Mus musculus: one gene and its partners. The protein of the gene in region 1 purifies or fractionates together with the protein of each later gene. This does not show direct contact. Links are inferred from orthologs where the notes say so. Each region holds a gene or a part of one and is shown on either strand. Other genes may lie near its edges.

The links. The genes of interacting proteins can lie anywhere in the genome.
Region 2: the proteins of Ciao2a (region 1) and Ciao3 purify together in Homo sapiens (affinity purification with mass spectrometry; 4 studies listed by BioGRID and IntAct, with this or other methods). This does not show direct contact. The link is inferred for Mus musculus from reciprocal best matches to the Homo sapiens genes CIAO2A and CIAO3.
Region 3: the proteins of Ciao2a (region 1) and Ireb2 purify together in Homo sapiens (affinity purification with mass spectrometry; 3 studies listed by BioGRID and IntAct, with this or other methods). This does not show direct contact. The link is inferred for Mus musculus from reciprocal best matches to the Homo sapiens genes CIAO2A and IREB2.

The regions. Positions count from the first base shown.
Region 1 is NC_000075.6:66,128,418-66,134,635, forward strand, and holds part of Ciao2a (cytosolic iron-sulfur assembly component 2A isoform 1 precursor), read left to right. Parts: intron 1-4,109; coding exon 4,110-4,274; intron 4,275-5,014; coding exon 5,015-5,064; intron 5,065-5,235; coding exon of another isoform or gene 5,236-5,305; intron 5,306-6,218. UniProt on the Homo sapiens protein: Component of the cytosolic iron-sulfur protein assembly (CIA) complex, a multiprotein complex that mediates the incorporation of iron-sulfur cluster into extramitochondrial Fe/S proteins.
Region 2 is NC_000083.6:25,778,917-25,783,775, forward strand, and holds the end of Ciao3 (cytosolic iron-sulfur assembly component 3), read left to right. Parts: intron 1-33; coding exon 34-168; intron 169-581; coding exon 582-700; intron 701-926; exon of another isoform or gene 927-1,198; coding exon of another isoform or gene 1,199-1,238; intron 1,239-1,390; coding exon 1,391-1,520; intron 1,521-1,891; exon of another isoform or gene 1,892-1,963; coding exon 1,964-2,036; intron 2,037-2,324; coding exon 2,325-2,462; intron 2,463-2,771; coding exon 2,772-2,929; intron 2,930-3,099; coding exon 3,100-3,338; 3' UTR 3,339-4,093; coding exon of another isoform or gene 4,094-4,262; 3' UTR 4,263-4,416; downstream 4,417-4,859. Other genes in the region: Haghl (hydroxyacylglutathione hydrolase-like protein), read right to left, coding at 4,094-4,262, 4,587-4,666.
Region 3 is NC_000075.6:54,896,896-54,901,754, forward strand, and holds part of Ireb2 (iron-responsive element-binding protein 2), read left to right. Parts: intron 1-591; coding exon 592-727; intron 728-2,492; coding exon 2,493-2,577; intron 2,578-3,054; coding exon 3,055-3,211; intron 3,212-3,552; coding exon 3,553-3,677; intron 3,678-4,859. UniProt on the Homo sapiens protein: RNA-binding protein that binds to iron-responsive elements (IRES), which are stem-loop structures found in the 5'-UTR of ferritin, and delta aminolevulinic acid synthase mRNAs, and in the 3'-UTR of transferrin receptor mRNA.

The sequences.
Region 1 (6,218 bases):
TAGACTGGAATTGAATACTGAAGTTTCAAATCACTTTTATTACATTTAGTTACTTTGTGCATGTTTGCACATACACATGCAAGTCATAGTGCAAATATGGAAGTCAGAGGACAACTTGCTGGCGTTAGATTTCTCCTTCCAGCAAGTGGCTCCTGGGGATGGAAACCCAGGAGGTTAGGCTTATTTGGTGGCAGGCCCCTTTTCCCACTGAATCATCTCGCAACCACCACCACCACCCATTGAAACTTTTAAATATAAATGAATCATCTTTTTAAGTATTAAAAAAGAGGTTTGTTTGTTTGTTTGTTTTTAATTTTAAGTCTGTGTGTGTCCATGGAGGCCAGAAGTGTTGGGTCTCCCTGAAGCTGGAGTTACAGGAGGTTGTGTATTGCCAGTTGTGGGTGCTGAGAACTGATTTTAAGTCCTCTGGAAGAGCAGACCTTCATGTCAATACAGAGCAACAAAAACTTAGTTGTGGGTGAGAGGAAATTAGGAGAGTAATGTGAGAACAAGCTTGATATCTTTTTAAAAAAATCAAACTTCTCAAATCACTAGAAAGCTAGAGGTGTTCAGTAAGGGGTAAGAGGTGAGGTTTAATTTCAGGATTTAGTAGTGTTCAAAGACTATAATACAGCTTTTACAAATGAAGCTTAGAAGGAGAAGCCGAGGAGAGGAGGGGGGAAACCCTGCTTTTCCAATCCGGTAATAACCTGCTACATGAAGGGGAAGTTTATCCTCTTTCCTATCTGCATTTTCTTTTTCTTTTCTTTTTTTTTAGTTTTTTGAGACAGAGTTTTTTGGTTTTTCGAGACAGTGTTTCTCTTTGTAGCCCTGGCTGTCCTGGAACTCACTCTGTAGACCAGGCTGGCCTTGAACTCAGAAATCTGCCTGCCTCTGCCTCTCGAGTGCTAGGATTAAAGGCGTGCGCCACCATGCCCAGCTCCTATCTGCATTTTCAAATGTCCTATTTTATTGGTAAGGCCAGAAGACAGTCTAGGGAAGGAAAGTTTGATGGATTTATTTTCCTGGCTGCTTTTTAGGTCTCTGGGTAAGGTATGAGTAGTAGAACAGACCCCAGGCTCCTGAGAACACCAGACCCACTCACCTGAAATCCTGCTTCTCTCCCCTGCCCTCCCTTTATCACTCTCCTTTTTATTCTATTTTATTTTCCTCTGTGAGCTTGAGGCAGGACAACCTCGTGTCCTTGCCACCGACCTCCTTGAGGTCCAGCCTTCTTAATCCCCTTGTCTTCTGCTTCCTTTCACCCAGCTCCATTCACAGTGTGATTTCCCTTCTGTCAACCTTCCATTTGAACTAAAAACCGTACTCAAATGTCCCTAAGCTTTGTCAAGATTCTAAAGCCTCTGCTCCACCCTCCTGCCAAGGCTTTTGGGGTGCATTCTCTGATCTGTTGGCTCCCCACTTTGCACCTCTCTACCGAACTGCTTTCTTATAAGTGACTTGTTGAATAACAAATCCAAGACCACTTTAGCCTGAGTTGTCCTGTAGTGTTTAATGTTGGCCACCTCTGGCTTTCCTTTTCTGATTCTTTTTGCTTTGCTTTTCATGCTGGCCTTTTTTTCTTTTTGAGAGTCTTACTATGTAGCCCGGGATAGCCTTGAGTTCAAATTCTCTCACTTGTGTTGTTCTGTAGCCTTTGCTATGGTTAAACACTTCTCCTTTCCCTTCTCTGTTCTTCTTTGCTTTTCCATTTTGAGATAGGGACTCAGTGTGTAGCCTAGAATGGCCCAGAAGTGAAGATTTTCATCCTTCAGCCCCCCAAGTGCCAGGATTATAGCCCTGTGCCACCACAGCCAACTTTTCAAGGATCCATTTGTGGATTTCCTTCCCTCTATACCAAGGAGCCTCAAACTAGGCTGCCTATAAGAATAACCTGAGAGTGCTCAACAGTTAAGAGCATTTGCTGCTGTTGCAGAGGTCCAGGGTTCGATTCCTGGCACCAACTTGGTGGCTCACAACTATCCTAACTTCCAGTTCCAGGGAATCTGAAGCCTTTTTCAGATGTCTGTAGGCACCAGGCACATGTAGACAAACATTCTTAACATAAAGATAACAACAACAACAACAAAGTTTTAAGAAAATAATCTGAGGAGTTTTAAGAAGTCTAGCTGTTCGGGCCATGCTTTAACCAGCTAAGTTAGACTGCCTAGGATAGGGCCCAGACAATGTTTTTTTTTTTTGTTTCAAGGCATTCATGGTAACTGCAATATCCAAATATCCAGCCAAGTGCTTTTTTTTTTTTTTTTTTTGAGACAGGGTTTCTCTGTGTAACCTTGGCTGTCCTGGAACTCACTCTGTAGACCAGGCTGACCTCGAACTCAGAAATTCACCTGCCTCTGCCTCCCAAGCGCTGGGATTAAAGACGTGCACCACCACGCCCGGTGAGCCAAGTACTTCTTGATGGATTCTGTGAGTTCAATAACCACTCTAGCCTTGGTGTGCACTTGGTGTGCACTATACAACTGTTCAACTTTGCTAGAACATTTCATTGTTTGAAGCACCTCCACAAACACTGCATATGAAACTGAGCTAATTTTCTATGAGTCTGTCTACCATGTGGGTCTGAGAGATGGAACTCATGTCTTCAGGCTTGGCTAAAGCACGGTGTCTTCCCCAGCCAGCCTCTATCCCCACCCCCTTTTAATCTTAATACTGTTCTTCCAAATACTTGAGCTTAAAATCTGAGTCATCAGCCGGGCGGTGGTGGCCCACGCCTTTAATCCCAGCACTTGGGAGGCAGAGGCAGGTGGATTTCTGAGTTCTAGGTCAGCCTGGTCTACAGAGTGAGTTCCAGGACAGCCAGGACTACACAGAGAAACCCTGTCTCAAAAAAACCAAATAAATAAATAAATAAATAAATAAATAAATAAATCTGAGTCCTCTCCCTCCTCTCTGTATGCTTGTCTTCTGGATGCAGAGAGTTGCCACATGTTAGTTCCTGTGAAACAAGGAACTTAGTTACAGCCAGGACTACACAGAGAAACCCTGTCTCAAAAAAACCAAATAAATAAATAAATAAATAAATAAATAAATCTGAGTCCTCTCCCTCCTCTCTGTATGCTTGTCTTCTGGATGCAGAGAGTTGCCACATGTTAGTTCCTGTGAAACAAGGAACTTAGTTGCTTGTCCTGTCTCTGTCCCTGTTGTCATCTGCTGATTTTAAGCCGAGCTTCTCAGTGGCCGTCTCTAGCTCTTCTCTTTGGTTCTGGTTCTTGCAGCTAGTGTGAGTAAATTAGCAGTTGACTGTACCCCACTGCCCTTCCTACTTCCTTATTCTAAATCTCCTGAGGAATCCCTATTGCCTGTGGCTAGTTGTGAAATACCCTGGTGGTTGGGCCCCACCCTTCTTCTCTGCTCTTTCCTTTGCTGGAAACAAGCCAAGGAAGCCCCTGATGGTTCTTTCCTTCTGTCTTAAGGGGATGCTGTTCATTTTCAAAGGCTTAATCCCACCTTCTCTCCAACCAAGACTCCTCTAGGGCTCCCTTCACATTCTCCCCATTCACAGTTCCCATGGTTTTGAATTAAGACTTGGATATGGACGAATAATGATCTAAGAAAATTGTTTTCTATTAGTAGAAATTTCTGTCAGATACTTGGGAGTTGCTGAAATATTTGATTAAAAGAAAATTAGGAGGACGGGTAGTGGTGGCGCACGCCTTTAATCTCAGCGCTCGGGAGGCAGAGGCAGGCAGATTTCTGAGTTTGAGGCTAGCCTGGTCTACAGAGTGAGTTCCAGGACAGCCAGGGCTATACAGAGAAACCCTGTCTCGAAAAAACAAAAGAAAAAAAAAGAAAAAAGAAAGTTAGGGCGGGGTGGTTGGGCCTGAAGAGATGGCTCCGCATTGGCTGTTCTTGCAGAGGACCTGTGTTCAGTTTCTTATGCACATGGCCACTCACAGCTGTCATTCCAGGGATCTTGAGGCCCTGGTCTGGCTTCTGTGGGCACTACATACACAGAATACACAGATATGTATGGAGGCAAAACATACACATTTGAAACTAGTCCGTGCTTCAATTGAGATAAGAATCCTCATCCTCACTTAGAATATTCACATTTTAATTTAATACCTTGTCTCTGATGCTTCTAGATTTGATTCGAACTATCCGGGACCCAGAAAAGCCCAATACTTTAGAAGAACTGGAAGTGGTCACAGAGAGTTGTGTGGAAGTTCAAGAAATAAATGAAGATGACTATTTGGTTATTATCAAGTTCACACCAACAGTACCTCATTGCTCTTTGGCAACTCTTATTGGTAAGGGTTGTGTGTGTGTGTGTGTGCATGTGTGTGTACATGGGTGCATGGGAATTCTAGTTTTTATTGGTAAATGTGTGTCTGTATGAATGCTTCTTACATTTTTAATTAAGTTTTTTGTGTATGGGTTGTTTTATCTGCATGTATGTCTGGGTACCATGTGCCAACAGAGACCTGCTAAGTCATCCCGACGGCAGTTAAATAAGTGGTTTTAAATATACTTTGTTTTAATTTTTTGCCTGGCTTGGCTTACCAGTGGCTTATTTTGGGGGGTAGGGTTAAAGACAGGGTTTCCTTTTGTAGCTCTGGCTGTCCTAGACCAAGCTGGCCTCAAACTCATAGAGATCCGCTGGCCTCTGCCTCAGAGTGCTTGGATTAAAGGTGTGCGCCACCATGCCTGTCTTCTGGTATTTTGTAAAGCTTAAGGGTCCGTCCATTATGCCTGAGTGCCAGCTGGCCCAGCAGAAAAGGCCTGGCCTTTGTGGTGCTCCTTTGTTCTGGTCAGTGCCAGCTCTGCTGTGGTACTACCACCAACAGTCACCTTACACTGTGACCTTGGTTCACCATGTATAGAATGACCCAGTTCCCTGGATTTACTGGGGCAGGCATGAAACTCTATTTCCTCATGGTGCCAAGGTCACAGGAGACCCACACTGGGTGGATGCAGTTTGAACTTTATGGTTTTTCTAGAGCCAGTAAGAAGGGATACAAAGATAATGAAGATTTTTCCCCCATCATAGGGCTGTGCCTAAGAGTAAAGCTTCAGCGGTGTCTGCCGTTCAAACACAAGGTAAGAAGCTTGCTTCCGCCTCACACCCAGGGCCTCACGTGAGCCTCACATACCTGCCGCAGAGCCCCGTCCCTGCTCCAGCTTGACTTGTGACACCTATTAAGGTGTAATTCACACATCATATAAGCCACCTGAAGTAGATAGCTGAGTAGTCTCTGATAACTCCTGCAGGGTTCTGCAGCCATCTCTGAATCACTGTTGAACACTTGCATCCCCTGCATCCTGCATGCAGTCAAGTACGGTAAGACATGAGTAACGCCACCACTTGGGAGGTTAAGAGAGGATGGTAGCCTGGGCTACACAGCCAGATCCTGTATCAAAAATGGAGAGAGAGAGAGAGAGAGAGAGAGGGAGAGAGAGAGAGAGAGAGAGAGAGAGAGAGAGGGAAGGAGGGGGCAGCCCTGATTTGCTAATAAGTAGTCTCTCTGTGCTTACAGCATGCTCTTCTCTGCTTCTCTGTACAGAACAACCATCTATTTCCAGTCTCCATAATTTGGGATATTTCATTTTAATGAAATTAGACAGTGTGTGGATTCCTTGACTTACTATGTTTTTAGTGTTGATGTTTTAAAGTGTGTGTTTTATTCTTAGGTAGTGTCATATAATAATATCCAATTAAATGGAGAGACCTTGTTTAATTTTGCTTTCTTACCAGTTTTTAGACATTTGAGTTGTTCCCACTTTTTGTTAAAATGGAGTTTTGGGGCTGAGGAGATGGCTCAGTGGTTAAGTGTGGTTGCTCTTGCAGAGGACCTGAGTTCAATTCCCAGCGTCCACATGGTGGCTCCCAATCATCTATAACTTTAGTTCTTCTTTTGACTTCAATTGGCACATACATGGTACACATACATACATGCAGGTAAAACATTTATACACATTAAATAAATTATATGTATAATAAATTGTATATAATAATCATATATAAATAAATAATATATATATTATTGTTTCCAGTAATACCCTTTATGGTGGTAGTGTTCCCTCCCCTTCCTGCCTTCCCCCAGTAATGGTTCTCAGTAGTTACTTCATTTAGGCAGGAGTAGTTCCTTGCTCTTATCTTTCATGATTTTGATTTGTTGTTGTTGAGACAGGATCTCATTATGTAGCCCAGGCTGGCCTTGAGTTTGAGGCTATTCTCCTGCCTTAGCTTTCCA
Region 2 (4,859 bases), on another chromosome or scaffold:
CCTTTGGCGCTGACACCTTCCATCACTTTCCAGGGGTCCACTTTGTCTTTGATACTGCCTTCGCGAGGAACTTCAGCCTTTTGGAAAGCCAAAAAGAGTTTGTGCAGCGCTTCCGAGAGCAAGCCAACTCCAGAGAGGCCTTGCCTGTGCTGGCTTCCGCCTGCCCAGGTGTGTCCATGGCTGCATGGTTGTTTAATTGAAGTTAGGGAGGTCATGATGTGGACAGCTTGACGTGGAAGGTGAAAATGACGGGGAGGGCTTGTCTTCAGGGAAGGGTAGGAATGTTGGCACCTAGGAGGTACCTGAGGCCTGAGACATTGCCTGGAATCACTGGCTCCTGTTGGTAGCATCTGGATACCAGCCTTCCCATGACAGTGATGACAGGATGGGTGTTTTAATGCCACAGTCTTTTCTTTTTTTTTCTTTTCTTTCTTTCTTTCTTTTTCTTTCTTTTTTTTTTTTTTTTGTGACTCGCTCCACCCCCAGAATGTCATGTTACTGCCAAGAGGAGCAGCTGTTTGCGAACCACCCCCAGACCTGCCCTATGCTCACCCCAAACCTGTTCGTTCTTTTTGGCTCAGGCTGGATCTGCTATGCTGAGAAGACACATGGCAACTTCATCCTCCCCTACATCAGTACAGCCCGGTCCCCACAGCAGGTTATGGGCTCCCTGGTCAAAGACTTCTTCGCACAACAGCAGGTAACAGGACCGGGCATCCCCAGGCAATATGTGAGAGATGGCCTGCTGGCTGACCACTGATGCCTTGTCTGTGACCATGGTCCCTTCTGGGGGGTGTCTGGGTGACCGCCAGTGGATGTCGGCCTGAGTATCCGTCTTGTTCAGGTAGCCTGTTACTACCTGGGCTGTCTTTTGTCAAGCACCAAGGGGCCCGGGTCTTATAGAAAAATACTTGTCACACCCAGAAATGGCTTAGACTCCATGTTTAAGAAGCAGGAGACCAAGGGCATGAAGCACCCCACAGGCTGTTGGGTGAACAAATCAGACCTCTCTTGAGGTCATTTCCAGTGATTCACTGGTTCTAGCCTAAAGTCACCGCACTGACAGGATGAGGAAGAGAGCTGGCTTGTATAGTGCTGCAGCCGCAAGCACTGGCATCGGCCCCGTGCATTCCCTCCGCGTGTGCACGGCCACACTTCCCTCAAGTCCGTGTTGTCTCCACTGTGACTTGACCTTCTCTCAAAGGCAGTGAGAACTTAATCTCCTGGGCTGCAGCTGCCTGTTATCAACAGAGGTGGGAGAGACGATGCGTGGCCCTGGTCATTTGGTGGCCAGTGGGCATGAGTAACTACTTAAGTCACCTCTGCCTCACATCGCACACTTCTCAGCTTAGCTCCAATGAGACTAAAGCTTTCTATACTCTGTCTGTAGCTTCTGACTCCTGACAAGATCTACCATGTAACAGTGATGCCCTGCTATGATAAAAAGCTAGAAGCATCCAGACCTGACTTCTTCAACCAGGAGTACCAGACCCGTGATGTGGACTGTGTCCTTACAACAGGTGCAGCTACCATGCATAACCCTCTTCCCTCTTATCTACGAGGCTCCCTTGGAGCCAAGCACTGGAGTCAGACACAGCTGGGGCTTCTGTGAGCGCCTCCCAAGATCCTGTGGCCAATGGAGCCCCAGGATCGCATCCTTGCTGGTTCAGAAATGAGTCCTGAGGGCAGGCAAGATCTCATCTAGTCCCTGTGGATCATAACTTCACCCTACTTCTAAGTGGAGTAGCCTGCCTCCCACTCACAAGTCAGGAACAGAAATCAGGGAGTCCAGCCTGCCCTGACTCCTTTTACAGTGCTCCAGGCTGGAATGCCTTCCCGTGGGTCTACAGGGGCTGGCCGGACTCACTGTCCCACCACCAGCTGGAGTAAGTGTCCCTCGGGGATGTGGACAGCACAGCCATCTCAGATCAATGAGAGCATGTGCTGTGTGCTTCCTCTGCAGGAGAAGTCTTCAGGCTGCTGGAGGAAGAAGGAGTCTCCCTCACGGAGCTGGAGCCTGCGCCCCTGGATGGCTTGTGAGTTGGTGGTGGGGACTGAGAAACCTTACTTGGGATCAGATGCTGTCTGTGGGGTGGGGCAGTGTCTTGTCCCCTCCTTTCTATCCAGGCTGCCTTCTGGGCGACTCCAAGCCTCCCCAGAGCCTGGCTGGGGCCCAAGAGTGGCTGAGTGTACAGTGTCAAAGCAGAACCTGCTCTAGAAGCCACCTAAGCTTCCCGGGGCTGCCATAAGAATAGTTCTTAATGTCTGACTACAAGAGACCTCAGTTGTGTTGCGCCTCCTGCACTGACCCGCCCCTCTCCCAGAACCAGTAGTGTGTCTGCTGAGGAGCCCAGCAGCCATCGGGGCGGAGGCTCAGGAGGCTACCTGGAGCATGTGTTCCGGCACGCAGCCCAAGAGCTCTTTGGAATCCACGTGGCTGAAGTCACCTATCAACCCTTGAGGTCAGCAGGGCAGGCACTAAAGTGAATTTGGGGGAAGCCCCCGGAGCATCTGGGCCTGGGGTTTCTCACCTTTGCTGGGCTTCGTGCTTGCCCTTTAACCCCATGTTAAGATCAAGGTAGGGATGAGTTTATCTGGTCGGGCCATGGATACAAGCTATACCCCACTTCTCCATCACCCCTCCCTCGGTGCGAGCAGGAAAAGACAGAGCCAGCTGGTACTGCACTGAACCCCAGAAGGCTTCTGACCCTGGGCAGGGACAGGTTCTCATGGCAATGTGTGTTTTCTCAAGCCTACTCCTATACTTTTAGGAACAAGGACTTCCAGGAAGTGACACTGGAAAGGGAAGGCCAGGTACTGTTGCGCTTTGCTGTGGCCTATGGTTTCCGTAATATCCAGAACCTCGTGCAGAAGTTGAAACGAGGCCGCTGTCCCTACCATTACGTGGAAGTAATGGCCTGCCCTTCAGGTAGCTCCTCCTAGTACCGCAGGCTCTGCTTGCTGGGATAATACAGCACCTTTCCACCAGTGGGAGGTGGAAGGGGTAGGACAGGAAGAGGGCATGTCCCCCTCTCCACACCCAGGGGGTCAGAGGGCTAACCCTGACATCCTGTCAACCATGCCCCTGCCCCACCACAGGTTGCTTGAATGGAGGGGGCCAGCTCAAGGCTCCGGATACAGAGGGCAGCGAGCTCCTTCAGCAGCTGGAAAGACTGTACAGCATGGTGAGGACTGAGGCGCCCGAAGATGCACCGGGGGTCCAGGAGCTGTACCAGCACTGGCTGCAAGGAGAGGACTCAGAGCGGGCCAGCCGCCTGCTGCACACACAATACCATGCCGTGGAGAAGCCCAGCTCAGGCCTGAGCATCAGGTGGTAGGAGGCCTTGAGTCTGTGAGACCCCCGGGGCCAGCACCAAGACTCACGGAAAGACTAGACTGTGTGGGTATCTGAAACAAAGCCCACAGGATACGCCCGAGACCCTCAATTCAAGGAGAGCTCCAAGGATGTGTTGGACTCTGTGCTCCAGTGGGGCACTGGCTGCACGTGGGTCCTTGGAGATGCGTGACCCATGTCTCTGGCTGGTAATGTTGCCTGCAGCCCACATAAAGTGCAGGCAGGATCAGAAGTAGCCAAGTAGGTTCACTGAGGTTCCAGACTCTTCCACTGGCCTGGGGCCATGGACATCTTGTGAGCCCTGCCCTCTGGCTGTAGTTGTCTGAGTGTGAGGGGTTTCATTTCTATGGCTAATCCCCAAAGCTGTAACACATAGGGCAGGTACCTACTGAGGCACCCAGGCTTCTAAAAACTGTTCTCAGGACCTTGGGCTCTGGGCAGTCTGTCAGTACCAAGCCTTTATGCCTATGAGAACTCCATAGCTGGGTCTCACCACTAATAAACAGACCTGCACCTCTGGAAGGATCCACTGTGTGTCTGGTACCACACTGGGCCTTTCAAAGTTTTATTCACCCTCCTCAGTCCCCAGGATATGTCTCTGGACCCACAAGAGCTCCTACAGATCCCACTTATAGGGCTCCATGAGCAGTAGAGACAAGACACCACTTGCTGGTTCTTCAAAGCAGGGTGGCAGGGGTCCCTGGGGGAGTGTGGGGACAAGCCGGTTCCCCACATAGTTCACTTTTTCTGGTGTGTGCTCAGAAGCCCCCACTGTAAGGCCAGGAGTGCCCGAACCTGCGGCTGTGGTGGCTCCACAGCAGGCTGGAAGCGCGCTCGCTCCCTGCAGAGGGCCTCCAGGACCTGGGCTGGGGCCACCTGGCCTGTGAACGCACGGACTGCATCCTCTCTGCAGGGAAGAATATGCTGGGGAATTGTGGGGCTGGCCAGCTGCCCATGGGGGTGGGGCCCAGCAGGGCGGTGGATGGAAGGAGGGCCCTTAATAAATGACCTTCTCTGGTGCCAGGGACATTCAGCTCAATAAATAGTCCCTAGATACCCTCCTAACTACTCAAATGACTGCCAAAGAGGCCCTGAGGAGGCCAGGCTAGTCCTGAGACTGCTCCATGGGGAGACTTGTCACTGGCAGTGCACACAGCCTCGTGAGGTTGCCCTACCCACTGATAGGGCCCAGGCCCCACCACAGGAAGACCCAGGACACAGATGTACTCACGTCACCCTCAGGAAAGGGTTGTACATGAGCTCCTCGCCCAGCGTCGAAGGCACAGTAGGAATATCCTCGTCATCCCTCTCCTGCAAAGCACAGAAGAACCAACGGCCACGGGGAGGTTACGGCACAGCAGGGCAACCCCCAGGCCCAGCCAGCTGAAGTCAGCAGAAGCCTCATTCTGACTCCCCAGAGATTCCCTTTCTAACTGACCCCAAACTTCAGGAAGGCTACTTCCGTCCCCCCCCCTTCCCCCTCTCCCACCCAACTGGCAATGGA
Region 3 (4,859 bases), about 11 Mb from region 1:
AATCACAGTATACTGTGCAAGGGGAGAATTACTGACACGTACCATCAGTTTGTGTACCGGGTGACAGCATTACCAATGTTAAATTGCTCTTTGTTTACTATGATTATGGCATTGATTCCATCAGTAGCAGTTCTATATGAATGTTCTTTTTTTCCCTGTTTGTGTGATGCTGTGGTGTTAGCCTTACCCTCCTTACCCTGCAGCATGATGCTACTTTACTAAAAATTTCAATTTGTCTTCAGTGAACTGAATAGGTAGAGTAAAATGCACACAGTAATGATATTAAGGTTTTATGGGCCTGAGAGATGGCTCAGAAGTTAAGGGCACTGGTTGTTCTTCCAGAGGTCCGAAGTTCAACTCCCAGCAACCATATCTGCTGCTCACAACCATCTACACTGGGATCTGATGCCCTCTTCTGGCATGCAGGTGTACATACAGATACAGCACTCATAGACACTAAAACATAAATCTTAAAACTTTTTTTTAGCTTTTTATTATAAATTGTAGTTGACGATATTAAACACCCTTTTCTTGGTTTTTATTCTAATGTGAAGGGTACGTTGTCATAGTCATTGTTTGTTGATTTTACAGGTCTTCTGGCTAAAAAGGCTGTTGAAATTGGTCTACGAGTTAAACCTTATATACGAACAAGTTTGTCTCCAGGCAGTGGGATGGTTACACATTACCTCAGTTCAAGTGGAGTGCTACCCTATCTTAGCAAGCTAGGGTGAGTGACACTTCTGTTATTTATACCTAGACTGGTATTCAGCAGTTAATAAATATATTTGTTAGGAATCAAAGAGAGGTAAAAAAGGAAAAATACCACTTAAAAGGGTGGATGGCCCCCTCAGAGTTGGTAAAAGACACACCCAGACACCAAGTTCTCAGCAAAAAGGAAATTTTATACCCAGAGGGGCTAGCAGATAGGGGAGGGTACAAAGTCAGACAGCACAGCAGCAAGAAGCAAGCAAGTGTTTTGGTTTTTTTGTTTGTTTGTTTTGTTTTTTTTGCAGGAGTGGATTTTTAAGGAGAAAAGGGGGAAATCTGTGCTCGGATGAGTTGGTGAATCTTGATAGCCAGATAATGAATTTTGATTGTTGGATCTTGGTGTTTAAATCTCAGGAATGAGTCAGTGACAAATAAGGGAATCAACCTTGGGAACAAGCTTTAGCAATACAGTTTAATGGTGTTTATTTTAGCAAGGGGAGAAGGAAAGATGAAAGAAAAAACCTGTCAGCGCCATGCTTGCCGTGCTCGGGCATGCCAGAGCCCTTCACTTGTTCCCTTGCCATCCACATAGTCTGGTGCCTAAGAAGCAGGTGGTGGTTGGGAATAGCAGAGGCACTTGGAGGTCAAGCACATGGTCTGTAGCCCTCAGGACAGGGCTGTTACTGTTAAGAGTGGGGTGAGGAAAATCTAATTCTCATGAGTCATGTTCAGTTCAGAAAAGAGTAAAGGAATAATACAAGTTGGATTAATTTAATTGAACACATCTTTAATCCCAGCACTTGGGAGACCGAGGCAGGGGGATATCTGAATGTGTGACCAGCCTAGTGTACAGAGGTAGTTCGAGGTCAGACAGGGCTACAGGGAAATCTTGTATTGGGGAGCAGTGGGGGGAATTGAACAGATTGTCTTGATTTAGGTTTTGCAAAGTTATTGGGTCTGCAATGTGAGGTTAATTTATCTATGAAGCTTAAGAGAAACAACTTCTAAATTTCTTTCATATTTAAGTGATAACAGTATAATTTTAGAAAATAATATTTTTACATAAATTATCCTTTTTTAAGGCCTCATAAATTTTAGATTTTTTTTTTTTTAATTTTGCTTTTAGAGCAGCAGCTAAAGTAATTTAGAGGCTTATGTTTGTAATCTTACTTTGGAATTACTGTCAGGGATTCTTGTTAGGTGTAGTTTATTCAGAGTTGAATAATTTATTTCCACTAGTAAATTGGGACCTTTGATGACTGTTATAGTGAGGTCATCCTTATGTTTTATAGTTTGAAATATGCCTTTCGAGTGGAAACACATGATTTTTTGTTTGTTTGTTGTTGTTGATTTTGGTTTTTTGAGACAGTGTTTCTCTGTGTAGCCCTGGCTATCCTGGAACTCACTCTGTAGACCAGGCTGGCCTCGAACTCAGAAATCCACCTGGACACATGATTTTTTTAAAAGGGGTTTTATTAGTTCTAGTTAGAGCAGAGGAGCTTTCTGATACTGTTAAAGTTCTTTTGATCTAGTACAGATAGTGTGGCTATGTGGCCTCTTCTGAGATTTATAATCAGTTCAAAGAACATGCTACCAGTGAGACTTTAATGTTTAAAACTGTGAGATTCATGTGTTGATGGTTAATTCTTACGAAGCAAGCAATCTTACTGTGATAAGGGAAATAAAGAGAGAAGATGCTCACAACCATCTAGAAGGGAAATGCAGAGAGAAGACTTGTCCTTTCTTTACATACTGTCCAGTCATGCTTCACTTTTTAAATGCAGGTTTGACATAGTTGGCTATGGATGTTCAACATGTGTAGGAAATACAGCACCTTTATCAGAAGCAGTTTTGAATGCAGTAAAACAGGTAAAAATGTAGATTAGCACATCTAAGTGCATTTTTATTGTTTATTTTTAATAAGGATGCTTCAATATTTACTTAAGCATCAGAGTTGATTAATAGATGCTAGTTTAAAAACTCAGACACACTTATGAATGCAATTGTGAGCCTCTTTGAGAGTTGCCCCAGCTTGTTTCAGCTATATCATGTTAGTAAATTATAAACAGTGTGTATATTGATATTTATACTGGAAACTCTCAGGAAACGTAACTTGTGGATCTTAAAATAATGCAAAGAATTACTTGTATATTTTAAAACTAATTCCTTAGTAATATAAGGAACTATTAAAGTATAAGAATTGTAGTTCTATACTTAAAATTAAAACTTAGTAAAAATTTTTGTTGTTGTTGTCTGGATCTCACCTAAAATTAGTTGAGACAAATTTTATAATTGTGTGAGTATATATAAGCTCTTGAATCAAGTATATTTGTTTTCCCCCCTTAGGGTGATTTGGTTACCTGTGGAGTTTTATCTGGAAACAAACATTTCGAAGGCCGTCTCTGTGATTGTGTCCGTGCCAATTATCTCGCCTCTCCGCCCTTAGTGGTGGCTTATGCCATAGCAGGCACAGTGAATATAGACTTCCAGACAGAGCCTTTAGGTGTGTTTTCTATATATTATCTGTATGTTTATATGCATACTTATGTGCACTGTCTCCAGAAGTTGTTAAAACCATACTCTTGATATGAAAGAAAACATGCAATACTTGTTTACTTTCTTAAAACATCTATTTTTCTGCTCTTAGTGTCTGTTGATATGAAGAATGTAATATGTATATGTAATTGATTTGCAATATTTAAACCTGAAACACACCCCATTGTTAAATCAGTTACTTGATTTCTGTGACTTTTCTTTGAAAAGATAGAAATGCTTTGAGGTGTTGGTTTTTGGTGGTGGTTGTTGTAATATGTGTACTGAATACCATGTTACAATTTTGATCAGGTACTGACTCTACGGGCAAGGAAATTTACCTGCATGACATTTGGCCTAGTCGAGAAGAAGTTCATCAGATGGAGGAAGAACATGTTATATTGTCAATGTTTAAAACACTAAAAGAGAAAGTAGAGGTAAGAGTCTTGTGGGGCTTTGTTTTTAGTTTGTTCTTTAATTTGAAGCAAGGTCTCACATAGCTCATACTGACTGAGACCTCACTCCTTGTAGCCCACGCTGTCCTATGAACTCAGCAATCCAGTCCTCAGTTCTGGGGTTTCAGGCATGATCCATGTGTCTTGCTTTCTAGACAGAATAAAAATTTTAATTTTGAGTATATAATTTTTATGGCTGAGTTTTTTTTTTTTTTAAAGCCTCTGTGTGTGTGTGTGTGTGTGTGTGTGTGTGTGTGTGTGTGTAAAACCTGTTAAAAACATTGGTGGTGGTATAGGCCTTTAATCCCATCACTCAAGACAAAAGCCTCGGCCACACAGTGAGACCCTTGGGGGGGGCGGGGCGGAGGTGTTCTTGATGACATTTTCATGTTTGTTCTCTGTACTCCTTTATTGCTCTTGCTCTCTCCTGTCCCCACTATTTCCTGCTGGTCTCCTCCTTTTCCCAAACAGTATCCCTTCTATAGTCACATGTGTGTATGTTCCTGCAGACATTTACAAATCTTTGTATGTGAATGATGTGTGTGTTTCTGTGTATGAATGTGGGCCTGTGTATACCATGGCATGTGTGGATGTCAGATAATAGCCTCAGGTATTAGTCCTTATCTTTCACCATATTGGAGAAAAGATCTTGTCTTGCCACTGCCTCTGCTAGCCTAGCTGATAGACAAACCTCGAAGGATTCTCTTGTCTCTACCTCCTGTTTTATCCATAAGACTGATTTGCAACCTTATATCCTGCTTACATGACTTCTGGGGGCTCAAACTCAGAAACACTGTGTCAAGTGATTTGTACCCATTAATCCTTCTGCCTACTCATAGTTCTGCCTTCTCTTTTATATATAACTTTAAATATGGGCAATATAACTCTCTTCTGTCCGGTGAGCTTCTCAGCCAGAATGTCATGCATTTGGCATATATGTTTTATTTTGAAATCTAGATTCCACATAAGAGAAGAAAATACAATATCTGTACTTCTGAATCTGACTTATTTTAACATAATGGTCTCTAGTTTTATTTTCTTGGTTTTTGGCTTTTTGGTTTTTGGAGACAGGGTTTCTCTGTGTAGACCTGGCTGTTCTGGAACTCACTTTGTAGACCAGGCTGGCCTTGAACTCAGAAACCTGCCTGCCTCTGCCTCCCAGGT